Arabidopsis thaliana: one gene and its partners. The protein of the gene in region 1 interacts with the protein of each later gene in a pairwise test. Each region holds a gene or a part of one and is shown in the gene's direction. Other genes may lie near its edges.

Region 1 (10,369 bases):
AACCCAAATTGATGCTATAACATGAATTAATGCCCTATATAATAGCATGTATATATATAGATCCCTACTTTTTCTCTAAGAGTCTCTATTGACGTTGTATTTGATTCGAAGTTTCAAAAAGTCCCTCTAATGCATTTTTGTTTCTCTCTTGATCTCTCCAGCATGGCCAAGATCCTCAGTCGTTATGAATTAGAACAGGCTGATGATCTTAAAACCTTGGTAAGTTTTTATTAGAACCTTGCATATCAGGTCGCATGCATATGTAATCAAGATGAGCATCTAGAAGATATCTTATAGTCCATTGAGATGGTTATTATGCTGATACTGTTTTTAGTGCCTTAACATTGTGGAGAGAGACCAGCATAGAATCACTCTGTTCTTTACAGTTGGTATTGCACTAGAAAGTCCACGACGTGGTTCTAAACTTGTAGTATTCCAGTCTAACCCTATTTTTAGTTCTCGAGTGTTAGAAACATCTCTTGTCATTCATATATACACCCATTCCTCTCAATTCTCAAAGTTGTCTAAGGCATATGCAACTGAGATGAACATTTAGAAGCTTAGGTAGAATAGTCCATTGAGATGGTTGTTATGTGGATGCTTTGTGTAGTTTCTTAACATTGTGGAGAGAGATAGGCATAGAAGCACTTCGTTCTTCACTACCGGTGATGCACTAGAAAGTCTACGGCAAGGTTTTAAACTTGTCGTGTACCAAACTTAAGAATCATTTGTCTCCTGGAAACAAAAGAAATTTAAAATCTTTCTTTCATGGCAGGATCTAGAAGAAAAAACTCTTAATTATCTTTCGCACAAGGAGTTGCTAGAAACAATCCAATGGTTAGCACTAAGACTCCTTTTTCCCCCTTTTCCTCTGATTATAGAAGTTGTTTTCCTTTTCTGTTGTTTATCTATGAATATATATGCAGCAAGATTGAAGAAGCGAAAAGCGATAATGTAAGTATAGATTGTCTAAAGTCCCTGGAAGAGCAGCTCAAGACTGCTCTGTCTGTAACTAGAGCTAGGAAGGTATATATGCTACTACTAAGATATTCAGTCACCTAGTCCATAAAATATTTGGTCCAAGAGCAGTGTTTGGGTTTCGCACTTCAGATCATTTCCCCGATTTGACCTAACTCTTAATGTCTTGTGACAGACAGAACTAATGATGGAGCTTGTGAAGACCCATCAAGAGAAGGTTAGTATTTCTGGTTTTTATTCGCCATCCCTAGCTATGCTGATTCTTGAATCCTCTGAAACTCCGAGTTTGGAGATCACTAGACCAAGTTAAGATCTCTATATATGTCATCGACGCTTGCCCTCTGCTGAATCACCGAAAATAATGCTATGAGGATGTTTTAGAAAAACTGAATAAAGTTGTGATGGTGTCCAAACAGGAGAAGCTGCTGAGAGAGGAGAACCAGAGTTTGACTAACCAGCTTATAAAGGTACCATCTCTTATGGATAGTAAAACATGCTCATATCTTCTTAGTAATATTTAATAGGGAATCATCACCTATAGAAGAAAAAAAGAAACGTAAAACAAATTTCTTACAGATGGGGAAGATGAAGAAGTCTGTGGAAGCAGAGGATGCAAGAGCAATGTCACCGGAAAGTAGCTCTGACAACAAGCCACCGGAGACTCTCCTGCTTCTCAAGTAACCACCATCACCAACGACTGATTCGAAAAATAAAAATTGTAAAAATTATGATTTGTAGTTCATAAGGAAAGCTACATACTGTATGTTAAAAATCCTCTTCTTCCCCCTGCTACGGAAAAGTCATCCAAGGAGATGCATCAAATAAAGTAATTGATTTTTATTGTTACCTTCGGAGACAGGATGATATAGTATTTACTTTCGTGCTTTTCTGTGTGTTCTTGTCTGAATATAGGAATTGTTTGAGTTTATAAAAGCTCTGTTTTCTTCAGCGTGAAGAACCCTAAGACCAAAATGATTAAAAAAAATAAAAATAAATAATTGCTAGTTGTTACTTTACCTTCGTGGCAAAGTTAAGACCATTTTTCTTAGCTGTTGGGAGAATTTATATCAGAGTGATGTCAGATAATTCGTTTTTTTTTTTCCTCGGAACTCTTTTAACTGATTTTTCAAAAAAAGGAGGAAAAAATGATTTTAGGCGGAAAGCCGGTAAAAGACTTGTCTTAGCTGTCAGGTTGCACAAAAAAAAACTGTTACTGTTAAGCCCAGATTCGGCCCATTTAACTAAAGATTATACCAGTTTTCCTATATATATATATATAGATAAAATGAAAAATTTAATTTAATTTATAAATTCAGGGTACGCGATTGACATCAATAATCATAGTCAACGCAATTTCCGTTGATCTTCCTAATTTTTTTATTTTTTATTTCTCTCTAGAGTTTTACACTGTCAAATTACCTATCTAGTTCTTTTTTTTCTTTTTCTTTTACGACTACTAGCTAGAGAGACATTTGCACATACAGTAAAGGAATTTATTTTATGTAGGGGTTCAAACACTTGGGAAGAAGAGGATTTACAGACTTTTTTAACATGAAATTATTGGATGACTCTTCTTCCCCTAAGCTAAATTTACAGACTTTTTGTTGTTTGGAAAAAGTTCTTCATATAAAAAACAATATGAACAGTATTACAGTAACCTGAGCTGGAATAACTTGAGCAGTAGTTTGTTTGGGCTTTTTCTTTGATCAAAAACTTTCTATTAAAATGCATCAGAAGAAAAATCATTACATGGCTCAGCCCAATGTTTTGGTTTCTCATACAGCCCAATACATGCTCATTACTAGTATTGCTACAGCCCAATATATTCTCATTAGTCATTACTAGTATCGGTGGAATGAACTAAATCCAATCAACGTCCTTGAGTTGTTTGAGTTTGAGTTGGCAGAGCAATGACTTGAGCTGGGCGGCTGGTGAATGTGCCAAGGACACATTAGTACAAATCCAAATCCCCACTTCGGCTAATCCTTTTAGAGATTCGGATTTACATGATGTTGTTATAGGTTTAAGATTACGCAATGAGTTTTTTTTTTCTTTTTCTCACTGTTTTGTCTTTATTCAGTAACGAAGATATTTTAAAAAAGACACAGAGAAGAAAAATAAACGCGCCCTCAGGGAATTCAGCATGCGTTAATACGTGTCTAGATTTGATTAAACGCACCGTTTAGTTTTTTTTTTTTGCAAGTCTTAATGTTTTTTTGTTTGTTTTAATTAAAATATGTTCATTGATATTTTTAGTAATTGGGGATTAAGTCATACAAAATAATTCATGGATTGTGCTAGAAAACAACTGGAAAAAAAAGAAGAAATAAAAATGCAAAATAATTCAGGATCTCCGACCAGTTTATACAGACATCAGAATTGAAGAAATTAGGGGATTAGATGTGTCGGAAGAGTGAAGCCATGGGAAGAAGAAGAGTAGAGATCAAACGAATTGAGAACAAAAGCAGTAGACAAGTCACTTTCTGTAAGAGACGAAATGGTCTCATGGAGAAAGCTCGTCAACTCTCAATTCTCTGTGGATCCTCCGTCGCTCTTTTCATCGTCTCTTCCACCGGCAAACTCTACAACTCCTCCTCCGGCGACAGGTCTCACTCTTTTTAACTCCTCTTTGTAGATTCTCTTTTTAGTTCATCATCTTCTCCGAAACTTAGAAACTAGGGTTTTTTTTGCCCCCTTCGAATCTTCTTGTGTTAGCCAAATTTAAGATTGTACAATGTGGTGGCGGAAGATGTACTCTTCGTGTTCGATTTCTTAAATTTCCATTTTTTTATTGTTTCAATTTGTTGCAGGGATTTGTTGTTTTTATACTCTTTTTTTCCTTGCATGCACTTCAAGAGATTTTTCTACACGTGGTGGTAATCCGTAATTCATGTTTGTTTATTAGGATTTCAAGTCATCTTAACTTTGTCTTGCTACTAGAGTTTTATAAGAACAATGTAAATTGTTTAATTTAGGCTCATTTTACTCTCACTAGTTCAATGCACCTTGGGTGGATTTGTTGGGGTATAAATCAAGAATCTAGTGGAAACGAGTGCCATTTGTTTTTGATATTTTTGGTTAGTTACAACTCTACATGATTTATAAGTTTCTCTTTTTATTGATTTCGATGGTCAAAAGTAGTTCTTGGATAATTAACTATAATAAAGAAGACTCTAATTCATAGTTTTCACATATGATTCATTACTCCTTTGATATGAGTATAGAGTTGTCTTCCTTATTTGTCATCGATAACTCACACACTTCCACTCCTAGATTTGAACATGAATTATAACACAGCGGTGATCATTAGTACAAACCACGAGGCTACAAGTCCAATATGTCATCAATTTCCTCCCTCTTTAATTGTAATTTTTGTGTGCATATACCAACTTGCAAGATGCATGCATGTCTACATATTAAGTAGCTTTATCTTCCACTCCTAGAACTGTTTCCTTCTCTTCTCTTTTGCATTGCATTTTAATTAGTCAGTCGTTTTGGAGATATTGGGTCTCATGGGCCAAAAAGAGGTACCGACCCTCTCTATATCAATTTTGTTCAATTCATGTTACTTGCTTTTTTCCCTCTATAATGTAGAAATGGGGATGTCCTTGTCACTAACTCAATATATATAAACGTTCTTACCATTGCCTTCATAGAAACTCTACTAATACTTGATCATGCAAGCAGAAATGTTAATTTGGCAACTACCATGCACAAATTATAGATATTACTAATAGAACTTTTTTTTATTTGGTTCAAGGTTTAAAATAGTTAAAATCCAGTTGTAGCTAGTTTCCTTGGTAGCTCCTTTAATTTGATACTTTAATTTAGTGGCAATATACAGAAGTGTTTTCGCTTGAGATTGTGGTTCTTATGTGTCTTTCTAATTGCATAGTTTACAACTCATTTAGGATGGAGTTAACAACATGCTGATCAAATGAACCAAACTTACTCTATTATCTGAAATCTTGCAATAGATCACGGACATCACGAAGTAGGATTGAATTTGTGATCAAAATGTTGGTATCCATAAAAAAAAAAAAAATCACATATGGTAGGAGGAGACCAAACTATAATGCCTTTTAAGACCTAAAGGCGCCATCATACATAAGCTAAGTTAGCTTTTGTGGTGTGTCTTTCTGGGCTTGATTGGGCTCAGTCCTATCATTTTTTTCACCTTCTCTGAAATGCTAAACCCATTTTCTTGGCTTATTGTTGAAGGAGTATTTCAAAATGTGAAAATGTTAAAGTTTATAGCCAAAGATTTTGTTTTCAGTTGTCCAATTTGGCTTATTCTGTGAGTGCTTCAATACTTTGTGAGGGTAGTTATAGCTTTTCATATATGAATTGTCAATATGATTTCACCAACTTCTGAAGATTTTCACTTGCAAACATGAATTTCATTGAAATTTCATTTTTAGGAATCTTTTTCAACTCTCCATCCAGTTATTCTTTTTTCGACTGCTGATAGTTTGAAAAAAAAAGTTAGATCATTAATTTAGCTTTGATAGTGATAAGAAAGTAGTGAGGTAATTAATTACTCATATGAAGAAATTGCTCATTTTATGCATATATCTCTCAAACTTTTCTAAGTTAAAACAAATTAGAGGCTGCAGAGTTGATTAAAGTTGTTATTGGAAAGTTAGAAATTAAAGCATTTTATTTTTTAATTTACCCATATACATGCATTAACATTAAAATGAAAGAGAAAATTGTGTCCTGGAAAATTAAAACTAAAGTCCATCACATAATATGGATATATGGTTAGAAAAATACAAAAAACTACTATTGCTTAACAAACCTTGTGTTGTTATTTAAGCGGAACAACTAACAATTCAATAGAGAAACCTTGAGTAAGGTTACTAAAACCATTGACTCAGTGTAGTAACACAAATTGACCCTATACATATATAGAAGTAGGTTACTTTCTCTTATTGATATTTGTTTCATAGTTTCAAAATATTTTGGTATACATTATTTCTAATCCCTATTTGTTTATCTCTTCATCTCTCTCCAGCATGGCCAAGATCATCAGTCGTTTTAAAATACAACAAGCTGATGATCCTGAAACCTTGGTAAGTTCTTCTTAGAACCTTGCAATCTAGTCCCTGGCATGGGGACACATGCATATGTGATTGAGATGAGCATTTAGAAGCTCAGGTTATAGTCCATTGAGATGGTTGTTATGTTGATACTTCATGTAGGGCCCTATTATTGTGGAGAGAGACTGTGATAGAGGTATTTGCACTAGAAAGTGTACAACAAGGTTGTAACCAAATTTAGGTCTTGAGGGTTAGAACCTTAGAAACTATATCTTGTCATCCATATATACACTCATTGGTCTCAAAAACCGTCCAAGGCATATATAATTGAGATGAGCATTTAGAAGCTTAGCTCGACTAGTCCGTTAAGATTGTCTTTATGTGGATGCTTTGTGTAGTGTCTTAACATTGTGGTGAGGGATCGGCGTAGAGTTCTTCACTGCCAGTAATGCATTAGAAGGTTTACGACAAGGTTCTAAACTTGTCGTATACCAAACAAACTTAATTCTCGAGGGTTAGAGTCGTTTACGTCTCTTGGAAACGCAAGAATTTTACAATCTTTCTTTCATGGCAGGATCTTGAAGACAAAACTCAGGATTATCTTTCACACAAGGAGTTACTAGAAATAGTTCAAAGGTTAAGATCCTTTCCCCTCTTCGTCTGATAAATATATATATATATATATATATATATATATATACTCTTTTTATTTTGTTGAATATATATGCAGAAAGATTGAAGAAGCAAAAGGGGATAATGTAAGTATAGAATCTCTAATTTCCATGGAAGAGCAGCTCAAGAGTGCTCTGTCTGTAATTAGAGCTAGGAAGGTATATATGCTGCTACTAAGTGATTGCTTCTATCTAATTCGTTTTCCAAGTACAGATTTCGGATCTTGCCTGACTTTGGACCATGTTTCCAATTTGACACAATCCTCAATGTCTTGTTGCAGACAGAGTTATTGATGGAGCTTGTGAAGAACCTTCAGGATAAGGTCAGTACCTTAGTTTTTATCCACTATCCCGGCCATTGAAGGTTGATTCTTAAATCCTCTTAAGCTAGGAGTATGCAGAACACTAGACCAAGTTTAGCTCTCTAGATATGTCTTTTTTTGGTCTTGTCTTAGTTCTTGATATATAATTTTTGGTTTAATTTAAATGAAACTGAAATTAAAAAGGTTTTAAAGTTTTGATCAAATTCAAGTTTCTCCCTGGTGAATTACCGAATTGTGACGAGGATTTTTAGAACTTGTTGGAAACTAATATACCTTTATGACGTTTGTTTGTCCTCAAATAGGAGAAGTTGCTGAAAGAAAAGAACAAGGTTCTAGCTAGCGAGGTAACAGAGGCACAATCTCTTAAGCGTAAAGAAACTAATTTAATCATTTTACACGTCGTATAGATAGACATTAGATAGAGATAGATACGTATGCACTTGCATATACTATACATACGTATGAAAGTTAAAGAAACCTGCTTTTTAATTAATACATACTTCAAAAGAACATGTTTAAAAAGCTTACAGATGAAAGTTAAGGGACTCTCTAATGGCTACTACACACTTTCTGGTGAAACCCACAATTATATTTTAAATTTGCAACAAAAAAAGACAATCATGCTCTTAAACTCTATGTTTCATGTTATATTTTAGTTAATATATGTAGAAAAAGAAGTGTAAGAAAGTTTCTAACACATGAAAAGATCATTTTAAGAACTGAAAAACAAATTACCATGCTTTAAAAGTCTAGATCTTGCTGTTATATTAAGTATTTTGTTGTTTACCTATAAAAAATGAAAAGAAATTTTCTTACAGGTGGGGAAGCTGAAGAAAATTTTGGAAACAGGGGATGAAAGAGCAGTAATGTCACCGGAAAATAGCTCTGGCCACAGCCCACCGGAGACTCTCCCGCTTCTCAAGTAACCACCAATCATCAACGGCTGATTTTTCATCATCCTGATTCAAAAAAGGTAAAAAAAATTCATGTGTAAAAATCATAAAGAAGCTACATGTTTTAAAATCCTCTTCTCCCCCTGCATACGGATAAATTTATAGACCAAAAATATAATGTTTTCCCTCAAATAAGATATCGACCTTTGTGTTACCTTGGAAGACAGGATCAGAAGTTTCGAATGTTTTGTGTGTTCTTATCTGAAAAAAAGGGAAGGTGATGAGTTTATAAAAGTTTTGCTTTCTTCAGCGTGAAGAACCTTGAGGCCAAAATTAGTAATTTTGTTATTTAATCGCGCTACTTGTGTTACTTTACCTTCGTGGCAAAGTTACTTTGTACCTTAGTAATGAATTTTGCTGTTTAATTTGAACATAAAAATCGGATTGAGATCACATTAACTCTGTTTAAAATAAAAACAAAAGTAACTCTAATAAATGTCTGATCCAAAAAAAATTGTAGGCGGAAAGCCTGCAAATAACTATATTAGGTGTCATGGTGTAATTGCACAGAGTCCAGATTGAGAAATAGTTTGCGGCCCATTTAGAGATTTCCGGCCCCATCGTAACACTGGTTGTCTCCTCGGAACTCTCTAAGGCTAATATGCATAAATTTAGGATATAAAAGATTATGGAAAATGTATTACCCGAAAGAAAAAAAACAAAGATTCTGGAATTATGTTGGCAACTATCGTATAAATAAAATATTCAAATTCTTTTCCTTTTTTTAAAAAAGTGCCTCAGTATAAAAAAATTCAAATTCTACCTTGATAATAGATATAAATTCGAGTAAAATGGTTTCGTATTTTATGCTTACTAAATATGTCGATTATTCCAATCTTATTTATCAGTTTGTTCAGTGAAAAGAAGAAATTCATTAAAATCTTCTTGGAGGAGAAAGCTTTTCTTACTTAGTAGTTAGTACAAATGACAAATATGATTCATTAATTTAGATCTTTACATCTTTTATTTAAAGGGAAAAAAAATCAGATCTTCATAATTACTGCATATAAAAAAATAATTGTAATAATCGTCAATAAATCTTAACAATTAGTATAAAACTAACATAATTAGATTAAATCATCAATACTAAATCTTACTTATATAATTTAATTTAAATTTAAATGGCTAACTTTTGTGTGCTTCCTCTAACTTTATTGATTGATGGATTTGTAACGTAAAAACTTAACGATCCAACAAAAGAACACAAAATTTAATAATCTCTAATTAATGTTTACACAAATCATAAGATGTTTAAAAAAAAAAAAAAAGAAGAAGATGAGTAGAAACAGAGGCACGTGAAGCTCTGTTTAATAGCAAGTTTTTATTATTTTTTAGCTCTTTACTATTTTTGAGTCTCTTTTGTCAATGTTTTAAACATAAACTCTTGTAAATATTGTATAGCATGATAAATCAGTTAAACATTTCATCCAAAATAATAATAATTGTATGGTGTTGTTAAAAACTTCCGAAGGAGCTGGCGCCAAAAACTGATCTTTTCGAACGGACTAGTATACAAGAAATCATTAACTTCCTCTTCTGGTAATTAATTAAGTAATCGTATTTAATTAATCAATAAAATGAAATTGTCATTTTTACTCATGTCAATAATACTCAATAGTCGTGAAAAAATCAAACCCTAGATTCAAGAATTAAATTAAACAAATGTCCTTCTCCGCACGATTTCGAAGGTATTAACACCCTAAATTAATGTTTCCACTTTGTTTTTTTTTTTTGTTTTTAATTTTCTGATTAGTAAATTTTGATGAATGAGTTCCAATAAAGATAGCGACTCAGAGAACAGCCTCCAAAGCGAGAAGAAGATCAAGAAGGTTCTCTCTCTCTTCCTCCTTCAATTTTTTTAATTTTGATTCTCTTCGAATATGTCACGACGTGAAACCCATTAATTAAACTGAATTAATTTAGATTTTTTCATTTGGTGTTTTGTGGGACATTTTCTGTTTTTAGTCAATTCTTCCTAATATTTTCGGATCAAGACGATGTGGTAAAGAAGAAGAAGAATAAGAAGAAGATGCTACAAATAATATGAACAATAGAGGAAATAATGATGACCTAGACCACCACTATGGAGTTTTCAATGGTAATTTCTTCTTAAACGATTTACGTACGTCACAAGAAAATCAAAACAAAATCATTCGATTTGATTTTGAATCATGTTTTTTTGTTATAGATTTTGAGCGACGAATGACGTCTCGAAAGAAATCGGTTCTTGACAACACTTCTCCAATGATTTGGAAGACTGTTTCTGGTAAATTGATCATTTTGTGATGATTTTTTCTATGTGGGGTTGAGAATAATTTGATTTTTTGGGTAACCTACAAAGAAAATTTGACATTATTCACATGATTACGAAAGCGATATAAATCGTACTACATTGTCAAAGA
Region 2 (6,232 bases), on another chromosome or scaffold:
TATTACTAGTACTTAATCTGTGTAGCATTAGTTAAAAGGTATTGAGTGAGGACGAAAGAGAAAGAAGATGTCACTGACCTCCACACCAGGAAGCGGTTTGCCGACAGTACCTGCATTTCGTGCACCCCGTAAGGGGTTTGACATTGCCATTACAAACTGGGAATATTGAAGATTTTTTTTTAATTCAGTAGATGTAACTACTAAGAACAAGCTTGTGTTAAGCTTGTTCTAAGGTATTGATTATGGTAACTCAAAGAGACAGGAAAATCTACTTACCTCAGTCATGCCATATCTTTCCAAAAGACGATGACCTGTGATACTTTCCCATTGATGCATGACAGGTCGAGGGAGAGCAGAGGAGCCAGACATCTGAAAATGTATTTCATTGGCTAACATTTAAGCACTAGTTTCATCAGAATATGAAAATAGCATAGCTATCTAGGCAGATAATGATAAACATTAAGCTGGATTGGCTCTTCTAGGAGATATTTGGTTGCTTACCATTAGGCGAAGCTTCCGTGCAGCAAAAGCGCTCGAGTCCTGCATCTCTTTATCCATTGCTTCATAACCTTGTATCAACCGAGTGTACATGGTTGGAACCTGTGTATCGCAACAATAACTTTACCAATTAAAAATAGCTAAATCTCTCGCTGTTTCTTTCTATTTCTCATCTCAGGCTAAATTTCTCTAAAGCAAAGCATGTTTGTTTATATATCTAGAGCGCAAGAAGCAAACTGGAAACTGATCAACTCAGCCAAGACTATCATTTTGTTACATAGTAAAATTGAGTAAACTCACATTGAATAGTGAATACTTCCCTCAATTCAAATACTAACTAACACTAGAAACAATTAATAAGCTTGCTATATCAGGCTTAAGAAAAGGATTATGCAACAAGAAATCAAACAATTAACTTGAGGCAGGGACAGCTAAGCATAAACTAGTATTATTTGTCTGGAATACAAGTAACAAAAAATAAGACTTACTCCAGTAAATACAGTTATGGAGTCGTTGGTTTTTTCATCATTCACCGGATATGATTCACGCCATCTACGCCAGATTCCACTAACACTAAATTTGGGCAAAAACTCCACCTTGAAAAAGGAATGTGAAAATCAATTAAAAACCTAAAACTAGCCTGATGTTTTCCGAAGGTAATGTATTTTGAAAGAGCTAGCCAAAGCAAATCTCAATAGTATAAGTTACCAAAGACCGTGCGTAAAGAGGAGCAAATAAAGCGTTGAAAAGCCCATGAACATGATGTAGTGGGAGGCAGTGGAGAAAATGATCAGCAGATGTGTACTCCCAAGCTTCAGTGAGCATTCTAACCTGCAACATATACAAGCTTCTAGCTTATAAGGTACATCATAATTTAGATACATGCAGACCATTCTATTGCAGGTTGGGTAGATTTGAAACATGACATGCGCTACATAAGGAGGTCGGATATATACCTGGGAATTGATGCTGTTGTGAGTATGAACAACTCCTTTTGGCTTACCAGTTGTACCACTAGTGTAGACGATCAATGCTGGATCATCTGCACAAATAAAGGCTGAAGTGATGCAGAAAATCCAGACCAATAATTGCTTGAGGTAAGGTGGCAAAAATTAAAAGAGCAGCCTTCATTATAAGTTCACCATCTCAAGTATATTCAAAAACTTACCTAGAAACTTTCCTTCTGCTTCAAAACTGTCATCCTGAAACTGATTGCAAGCAACAGTTTCCGAAGTTGAGTTAACAACAGGAGGAATAAGATGAAATCGAGCACCACTCTTTGCTGCGATGGTTTTCATAGTTTCACTATGGTCCTCTGTGCTCAATAACAGAGATATATCCTAGAAACCGAAGACAACGAGGTTAGATCCCAAGAAAATGTTAATCATTTTTTCTCGAGAGTAAAAAGAGCATAAGGCACACTTATTTTGTGAAACTTGAATGTGGTAGAAAACAGAGCAAACCAGAAAACTTCTGCCTTTTAGAATATTTTCTACTTTGTTCTACAGAGTACCCTTTTTAGTCTATGGAAAAAGACCTAATGCTAGAAAAACCAAGAGCTTGGATCAAAATTCTGAGATCACAAAAATAAGATCAAGAATACCTAACAATTGAGCCGAAATTAAAGCACAAGGAAATAGGAAGGCAAGTAGATTCCATACCGAATCATTCATGACATGTAAGAGTTCAGCCTCAGGATAGCTGAGTGCAAGTGGAACCGCTACACCACCGCTAAACCATGTCCCCAGGACTCCTGCAACAAACTCAGCTGAAGGTTTTGCCACAATTCCGATTCTAGCTCCTTTTAGACTACCAAACCCTTCATACTTCTTAGTTTCTTGACCTCCCTACGAAATTTATAGAAGACAAAAAAAGTCAATAACCATAAAGCTGTAAACAAACTGTGTGATAGCTTCAAGTAGTAGATATAGTAGCTACAATTTCAAACCAAAAACCATACATTTGTCGTATCATCTTTTAAGAACAATTTAGATATCCTCAAAGCAGACGATGTTAGCTGGCCATAAGAGTAACTCTTTCCATCGGCTTTAATCGCAATCCTATCACAAGAATTAGACGCTTCTGAAAAAGCTGCTTTAAACACTTCCATGAGTGAACCAGACTGTGAAGCTGCAACATTTTGATTACATAGATAAAATTCAGATTAATATATAGAAACTACATGTACAAAAAAAGAACAGATTGAGTTCCTTGGAGATGCTGCAAAATTTTCAATATAAATTCAGATCAAAACAACAACTTGTTCAGGTTTTTACGGATCATCAATGTTACTATATGGAAAGCACGAATCTTTAAGACATTTCGTCGAACATGTAACATGCAAAAACCAAACAAAGGTAAAGAAGAAAACTTACAGAAGAGATGGTTAGATTGGAAGAATCGAAACCCAGAATTGGAAAACGAAGTAGAAGCTGGGTGGGATCGAGGAAGAAGAGGAGAGGAGAGAATAGCGTAGGAGTTGTGGTTGAGTCGATGGTTAATTAAAGACAAGTAGTTGAAACTCTTTAATGTTGTCGTAGCGGTCATTTTTAGGTCTGGTTCGTTAAAAGGTTTCGACTTTTTTCGCAAGTCGTACAGTCAAATTACGTAGCCGTTCTTCTTAGGTGGTGGTTGCAATCGCCAAAAGAGAGCCTTCGTGTCGATCATGAAATAGCGACTGAAGCGTTTGGCGACTTTGATTCAGTGGAGAGTTTGGCACGTGGCGTGTTTTGATGATTAAAAGTGAGTGACAGGCGATAATGGGTTATTCTTTAATGACGCTTTATTAGGCATTTTTTTAAGGTTAATTACTGATTTGCTTTTTCTCATTTATTTGTGTTGTGAATTTCTTTCTAAGTATATTTACACAAAATTAAAGACCATCTGAATATTGCATTTTGAGTGATGTGATCCTGACCGTTGATGAATAACAATTGTGGTTAGCTAACATCTTATACATATGCTTTGATATGCATTGATTTTATTATTGTGAAGTTTTGAACTCTAGAGGAAGATTCTATTTAATGCCAACATGCAATTAATAACTTTTTTTTTATCAGTACCTTTTAAAGGGAGTGTACATCTTAGGTCTCCGGTTTGAGCATTGGAGAAGACTAATTTTGTTATATTAAATTATTAATCATGAAATTAGATTTCTTTAATCCAACTCCATCTTCGTCATCAACACATCATCATTCCCTCCAAGATCACTCTCTCTCGCTTTTGAATACCTTCGCGTTGTTCACAGAACCTTTTTGTTTCTTAGAAAACCCCTTGGAGCTGGCCAAAAAAAAAATCGAGAGAGAGACAATCATTCATCGTTCCGAATTAGGATCCAGCATTCCATTTTTGTTCTGATATCTGTCAGCCATGGCGACTCTCCGATACACTGATCTGATCTGATCTATGAATCGACGCTTCTCTGAGGATTCCTCACCGTTCATGCTCTAATCGGTTCGCCAAATTGAGGAACTAACTTGTGTGGCGACTATAATGTGTCAAGGACCGATATGACAGGAAACGCAGATTCCGGCAAAATCGCGACAGAGAAAGACCCTAGGAAGCTCGTTTTCACCAAATTGGAGGTATCTCCCGTCTTCCGAGAATCTCCTGTTAAAGAACTTCCTCTTTTTCCTCCGATTTCTCGGTATTGTTCCAGTTTCTCTGCCAATTTTCACTAGAGATGCTTCTCGTTTGAGTAATTTCAATCCAAAATCTACTCTCTGATCTCCACTGGTCTTGATTTTGAAGCAGAGAGCATTCAGAAGCAAAGGATAAGACAGATGAAGAAGGCATTACTTCGAGGAAACACAAAGGATGTCGATGCAAGCAGTCCAAATGTTTAAAGTTGTAAGTTCATTTCAGGATCCAAGAATTACTTAGTGTTAAGCTGATAGAGATTTGAGTATAATGTTGAATAGTGAGATTTCTATTATCTGCTGTAGATTGATGCATTATTGGATATTTGTTTGACGCTTGGTTATTAGGTACTGTGACTGTTTTGCATCAGGAGTGGTATGTACAGACTGTGATTGTGTTGATTGTCATAACAACTCTGAGAAATGTGATGCTAGAGAAGCAGCTATGGTGAATGTACTAGGTCGCAACCCAAATGCCTTCAGTGAAAAGGCTTTAGGTAGCCTAACTGATAATCAGGTATGTTCTTGACACCTATCACTTTTGTAGGTTAAGCTTCAAAGAGGTATATTTCACATCCTTTTTCATTTGTAAGTATCTGGGATGTTCTGTGTTTTGTATTGTAGTGTAAGGCTGCACCTGATACTAAACCTGGACTGCTTTCGAGAGGCTGCAAATGTAAAAGAACCAGGTGTTTGAAGAAGTACTGTGAGTGCTTTCAGGCTAATCTTCTGTGCTCAGACAACTGTAAATGCATCAACTGCAAGAATGTTAGTGAAGCGTTCCAGCCTCCTGCATTTTCTGCTCACAATTCCCCACAAGTATACCGGAGGAGAAGAGACCGAGAGCTAACTGAGGCAAGTGAAATATACTACTTGCTTCATAACATATATGCACTTTTGGGTTTATCTCCATAAAACTCATTTTTCTGTCCGGAATAGCAGTGGAATTCTTGTCCAGCTCCGTTATTTTCGATACCTGACAATTCCATTCAAAATGCTCTGGGTTCCCCTATGTCTTGCTCTCCTAAACTTCCTTACAGGTTCGATTTTGCATTTCCTAAAATGATAGTTCATCTTCCTTCACCTCATAATCATAAATATTTTAACTGAATTTTCATTGTGCTACTAGAAAGAAAAGGTCCCTCATGGGATACACCTCTACACTTCTTCCGGACTTGGGAGATTTATGCTCACTTCTCGTTGCAGCGTCAGAATCTGCTACAACAACTGCAGGTATATCTGTAGTCTCTTACAAAATCTACACTTTACTGGATCTACTATTCCTTTGGCTTCATCAACATACTTCCTTTAAAATCTCACTTAGAGGACCAGAACAGGATATTTACAAAGCCTGATGATAAGGAAGCCATTGAGCTGTCAAGTGAGTCTGAGAGTCGTAATGTGGAAGAAGAAATACAATCACGTGGAAGATTGATCGAACTGATAGATGTTCAATACAATGGAGAAGAGGATTCCCAATGTAAGACCAAGACAAGTGTCAATGAAACAGATATATACATGGAGCAGGAAAGGGCAGTGCTTGAAACTTTCAGAGACTGTCTCCAAAAGTTCATCAAATCGAGACTGGAATCATAACAGGTAATAATTCCATCTCATTTTGATAATCCCTCCATCCTCAAATAAATCCAATTACTGCACTTTTTTGTTGCTATTTATGACAGGTAAGGTTCATACAAGAAACAGAGAGCTGAACCATAGTTTCTTGATTAGGCATGGAGCTGAGACAGATCAACAATTTTAAACACGAACTAACCATTTGAAACCGCATTAAACACAAATCAATATAGGACTGGTGATAACGACATAACTAAATTTACTCCTCCAGCTTTATGATAATGAATAACCAAATTAATAGAGCGATGACTGATTAAATACTAGTAAGACATTTTCTTAATCTAAAATATTTCTCACTCCCAAATAGCAACCTCCATGAATCCATCCTCAGTTGCACATCCCCTGAACATCCCATTAGAGTTAAAACCACAAACCACCTCTCCTTTATTCGAGACAGCAATGAGTCCAGCGAACCCTTCGTCAAGTCGATGCTTGATGACGTAATCAACCGCTTCTTGGAG
Region 3 (5,196 bases), on another chromosome or scaffold:
TTAGTACGACGATTTATTTACTAGTCGGATTGGAATAGAGAACCGAATTCTTCAATCCTTGCTTTTGATCAAGAATTGAAACCGAATCAAATGTAAAAGTTGATATATTTGAAAAACGTATTGAGCTTATGAAAATGCTAATACTCTCATCTGTATGGAAAAGTGACTTTAAAACCGAACTTAAAAGTGACAAAAGGGGAATATCGCATCAAACCGAATGAAACCGATATGAAACCGCATCAAACCGATATAGCGTGAACCAAAATGTGGATTAATGACATTTAGACCGGAGGAACATAAGTGGGGACTATACGGCATCGTTTTAGTGTATAAGTGAATTCGCATATTCACGAGTTCCCCGTATTCACCGGTTGTTATATCGTCGATTCATCGTCGTCGACGGCGAGTACTTGTGACCTCCACACCCAGATTAATCTTCTATAACTGATTTTATCGCTTAGACGATCACGATCTCATCGATTAACTGTGAGTATAATCGATTCCTCCTCTTTATTTTGTGTGTTGTATCGATTTACGATAATTTTTTGGAGGAACATCTCCTTTCGGATCGGTTTTGTTGGGAATTTATATTTCTTTGCCATGGTTTTATCTTGATTTGGTGATTTACCTTGTGTTTGTTCTGGTGTACTATTTAGCTAATTTAGTATAAGCTTTCAGATGATTCTAGGAAACTTTTGTGCTACTGTTTTCGGTTTTTGGTGATAGAACTATGTAGTTTTAAGGAACCATATAAAAATTTCGTCTAGAAATGTTTCTATGGTTACTGATCAGTCATCAGTGGTAGCGATATGAAATTGGAATCCTGTTTTTTGTTACACGGTTCGATTCAGATGCTTTCGATTCAAATCCTGTTTAAGCAGCTCAGGTTCTTTAGAATTCTTGTTTTTTAAATGCTTCTTGCCTGAATGTAAGGGATTTTTTTTGCTATTGCTTTGGTTCCTGTGATTGTTTTTCTTACCTCCTCTGATGTTACATGATCAGCATTTGTGAATTTGGATTCTTGGAAGCTAACACAATTCTTAGGATTAAGTTTCGTATGGTCTGAGACTTTGAGTTCTTGACGTTTGGTCTGAGGAACTGTTGGAACTCATTGATTTTGTATCGGTTCTGTAGCTTCAGTTCGGACTTGATCATCTCAGGAATTGGAAATTGTTTTTTTTTGATGTTACAATATTTCGGAGTCAGATAATTTTCAATTTCTTATTTTGTTTATCCCAGTCAGAGGTCATTGTCGAAAAAGTACGGATTGATCTGGATATAGCATGATGGTTTGAGTTGTATAAACTGGGTTACTGAGCTGTTCAGATTGTGCTAGATTCTAGTTTTACTTTGATGTTTGGAAATTATGTGCGCGTCTTTGTGTTAGTGAACATTACACACTGAAACATGAAAATCCATTTGCTTTGTTGAGACTCCATCTAGTTACAACTGATAGCTATTATTGGTATATTTCTTATGGTTTGAGCTTGTGATCAATTTTGGTGGGGTAAATGGGATGTTAATATTGCTCTTGAGGAATATATGTGTTGATCATGACAACTACGAAATTGTGAATAGTTCATTGATTTACTAGATTTTGTTTATTAGGCTCGCTGAGTGATTTCTTTTACATGCTCTACAACTTCTTGGAGAATGCTGTGATCGTCTATGCATTTCTATTCGCAGCTAACTTAAACTCTTTTACATAATTTTTTACTTTAAAGGACAAATGAAGCATATAGTAAAGATCTTGAGCCTGTTGGTGGCTATCTCTGCCTTCTGGATTGGTCTTTTGCAGGCTGCAATTATTCCTCGAAGCCATACATGGTTGGTGAGTAACAAACAATTTTGTCCTCTTTTTTGGTTTCTTGCTTTTTTGAAATTAGGATTCTGTTCTGATTTGGTATTATTGCCGGTCTGTCTTACAGCTACCGATCTACTTTGTTGTATCCCTCGGATGCTATGGCCTATTAATGGTTGGAGTCGGGCTCATGCAGTTTCCTACTTGCCCCCAAGAAGCAGTTCTGCTGCAGAAGGTACTTTTGAGACTAGCTCTTTGTTTGCCATAGTCGGCCTTGTTCTTATTTTTCATCCTGCTCTATACGGATTCGTGTTATCTAATGTTGACATCCTTCAATATTTTTGCTAATTTAGTGTCTTTTATCTGTTTCTTTGGTTGCAGGATATTGCAGAGGCTAAGGACTTCTTCAAGCACAAAGGGGTAGATGTTGGATCGAATTGACACAAAGGCTTTTATCAGACCATTCATCAGAGATATTTTTCGTTATTGACAAAAGACTTAACTGTACTGTTTGGAATTTTTGAATTTAACAGTGTCACTGAGGTAAAACGCAAAAGCTTCGTATGCATCCAAAAGTAATCGCAAAAGTATAACAAATATTCCAAATTGCAGAAACTTATTAGTAACAATAGAAGCATTTACATTTTCTTGTGGTGAATTACCATAAAGCTTTGGCCTTTGTGTCTAGTAAGTTCTCCAGGTATGCAAAAGAGATCGCATCAACAGATTGAATCAGGCTATCCTCTGTACGAAAACTCTGATATGCAACACACCAAGAAGGTATTAAGTCGCTCATAACTGAGTAGGTTTCAAAAGATACAAATGAAACATTTGGAACCAAACCAGTTTTTAAAAGATACTAAGCAGGAAAATCAAAAGACACTGAACCAAAAAGATCATAAAGATATGACTTTGATATTCAACTTGCATTTGCCTTCTCCTTTCTTTATCTGTCCACAACAACACCTAATTCAAACCAGCTGCTTTTCTGTGTGTTTATGGCTCTCCTTTCGTTCAACCATGCCACAGTTCTTTATGCCTTAAGAATACGCTCCTCTATCGACAATGCTAGCACATTCAGCTCTTGAAATCTCTTATCAGTCTTGTCATTGTTATCAACATCACCTTCACCAAAATCATTGTTTCCCTTTTCAGAGTACTGCTCATTGGATTTCATAGTTTCTTCACTTCTGATGCTATCATCATGAAGCAAACAACAATCCTGTCCCTCATTTCCATCCCCTACAGCGATGTGAATGTTTGACTCATCAGATGACTTCAGAACCTTATGCTTATATGCTTTTCTTGTTTCATCTCCATTCGTGCATCCAGAAGCAAACTTTTTATGAGGGCTAGATTTTTTTTGTTGTTGTCTGCCTTTAATGCTAGCACCTTCTCATGCATTGATCCTTCCATCAGCATCTTCCTTCTCTGCTTCATTACATCAAACACTTTGGTTCGAGCTTGAGCTCTCCTCTGCTGACCCTTCAACAACTTTGTTGGAGCTTTTTTTTTGTGTTTGATCTTTTCTTCTTACTGTTTATGGTTGTTTGTCTGATATTGTTGTTGTTGTTTTGGTTAAGGAGGATGTGGGTGCTTGTGTTGTATTACTCTCCAAGTACGATCCTGTTTTTCTTCTTCTTTTCTCTTCTCTCATGCATAATCTGATTCTGAATTTATAGTGTTTGTGTTGATATTTGATGATAACAGTTGTGATTAGATGCAATAATCTTGATGATCTTAATGAAAATGTTTGTTTGGTAAAAATTAAAAAAATTAAGTTTGACCGAGTCACATGATAATACCGACATTAGTATTATCTAATCTCTATATATTTGTGCTTTGCCTCTACTCTCTTTTCACTCTCTCTTTTTCTCTCGATTCCATTATCTCTCTCTGTAAGACACAAAACAAACCCTAATAATGCAGTCGTCGAACGTAACTGATTGCACAATGAGGAAAAGAGGAACAAAAAGAAAGATTGAAATTGAGAAACGCATGACTAAACAACAACGATCCGTCGCTTGCAGCAAACGCCGTCCCACACTCTTCTCCAAAGCGGCTGATCTTTGCCTTCTCTCCGGAGCCAACATAGCCGTTTTTGTAACTTCTCCTGACGAGAACTCCGATGTCGTTTATTCATTCTCGGGCTACTCTCATGCCTCTGAAATTGTTGACTGTTACCTCAACAACAAGTCTCCTCCCAAGACTACTATTAACCCTGAATCAGCCAAGTTTTGGTGGGAAGAGCCCGATCTTTACCGTGATTGTGACGATCTGTCTGAGTTAAGAATCATCGAAGATCGTTTGATGAGAACGAAGAAGCATCTCATGGATTATCTTGAGAAGAAAGAAAAATCACACTCTGTTTCTAAATCCGATCAAAACCCTAACAACGACAGTGGGTCTTCTTCTTCGTCTTCTCAAATTGCTTCTGATTTTGGTCAAAACCCTAGTACCTTGTCTCCGTCTTCCTTAAAAATTGTTTCTTTTGATCAGAACTCTTACTCCTCACTTGAGCCTTCGTCACAAGTTACTACTTGTTTTGATCAAAACCCTGTTTTCTCTGTTGGCAGCGAGTCATCATCTGATCAATCTCGTTACTTGGTGAATGAAGATTCTGGATTTGTTGACGGCCTCTTATGTGAAACAGAGGAAGAGAATAACGGAATGCGTCTTCCCCAAGAAACACAAACACAACCGATGTTCACAGAGGAGGATCAGAGCTTTTGGGAAAACCTAGATGTCGACGACGTGTTTGGTCTTTTTAAGGACGACAACAATCTTGAGGTTCCTCTTCAAGATCATTCCTCAACCAACGAAGACGACGAGTTATTGATCGACATAAGTGAATACTTAAGCGAAGAAGCAATGGAATGCCCATGTTTTAGTTAGTTCTCACAGCTTGATTAAGCACGATCTCATAGTTAATTACGGTTTTAGTTAGTTCATTAGGTAATTACCATTTATGTTGTTGTGTGTAACGATCTATAGATATCTGTTTTATCTCAACTCTTTTGATTCTGTAATTTCGATTTTGGTTATGGCTGTGGTTAGTGAGACTAATTGTGGTGAATTACAATATCTTTATGTTCCCTTTTTAGGCATTCTTTCTTGTCTAATGTCAATGGATGATGCCAAAAAGAAGAAGTAGAATGGTGAAAACAAAGTAGCTTAGGGTTGAAAGAGACGATGTTCTATTTGAAACATTGTTACACCTGCAAACACCTTTGTGTTCTTCTCAGAAAGTTAAAGAGATTAAAAGCCATAAAATCTGATGAGAGAGAGGGAGGGCTTGGCTTGTTTTATCTCTTCTTCTTGCCACCTTTGCCTGACTTTGAAGAAGTTCCAGAGGTTGAAGTTGTGGCCTGAGGTTCCTGCTTCTTCGCTTTCTG

Evidence for each region. Proteins that work in one complex are often made in the same cells at the same time.
Region 2: the proteins of MAF5 (region 1) and AT3G16160 interact in a two-hybrid assay, tested with the Arabidopsis thaliana proteins (one large-scale study listed by BioGRID).
Region 3: the proteins of MAF5 (region 1) and AT1G48150 interact in a two-hybrid assay, tested with the Arabidopsis thaliana proteins (one large-scale study listed by BioGRID).

What each region holds. Positions count from the first base shown.
Region 1 is NC_003076.8:25,994,272-26,004,640, forward strand, and holds MAF5 (K-box region/MADS-box transcription factor family protein), read left to right. Parts: upstream 1-3,322; 5' UTR 3,323-3,378; coding exon 3,379-3,584; intron 3,585-5,995; coding exon of another isoform or gene 5,996-6,053; intron 6,054-6,539; coding exon 6,540-6,656; intron 6,657-6,750; coding exon 6,751-6,850; intron 6,851-6,972; coding exon 6,973-7,014; intron 7,015-7,316; coding exon 7,317-7,358; intron 7,359-7,832; coding exon 7,833-7,940; 3' UTR 7,941-8,059; downstream 8,060-10,369. Other genes in the region: MAF4 (K-box region and MADS-box transcription factor family protein), read left to right, coding at 162-219, 776-837, 927-1,026, 1,154-1,195, 1,395-1,445, 1,555-1,659; BST1 (DNAse I-like superfamily protein), read left to right, coding at 10,011-10,065, 10,156-10,233.
Region 2 is NC_003074.8:5,472,866-5,479,097, reverse strand, and holds AT3G16160 (Tesmin/TSO1-like CXC domain-containing protein), read left to right. Parts: upstream 1-3,750; 5' UTR 3,751-4,007; coding exon 4,008-4,144; intron 4,145-4,251; coding exon 4,252-4,347; intron 4,348-4,484; coding exon 4,485-4,653; intron 4,654-4,760; coding exon 4,761-4,991; intron 4,992-5,078; coding exon 5,079-5,176; intron 5,177-5,265; coding exon 5,266-5,369; intron 5,370-5,460; coding exon 5,461-5,732; downstream 5,733-6,232. Other genes in the region: AAE13 (AMP-dependent synthetase and ligase family protein), read right to left, coding at 79-156, 277-369, 502-600, 987-1,094, 1,207-1,329, 1,455-1,540, 1,667-1,838, 2,160-2,345 and 2 more; ASPGB1 (N-terminal nucleophile aminohydrolases (Ntn hydrolases) superfamily protein), read right to left, coding at 6,065-6,232. UniProt on the Arabidopsis thaliana protein: Plays a role in development of both male and female reproductive tissues.
Region 3 is NC_003070.9:17,781,673-17,786,868, forward strand, and holds AT1G48150 (MADS-box transcription factor family protein), read left to right. Parts: upstream 1-3,724; coding exon 3,725-4,696; downstream 4,697-5,196. Other genes in the region: DPMS3 (dolichol-phosphate mannosyltransferase-like protein), read left to right, coding at 1,730-1,831, 1,929-2,036, 2,183-2,242; AT1G48145 (plant mobile domain protein), read right to left, coding at 2,835-3,140, 3,194-3,241; AT1G48160 (signal recognition particle 19 kDa protein, putative / SRP19), read right to left, coding at 5,107-5,196.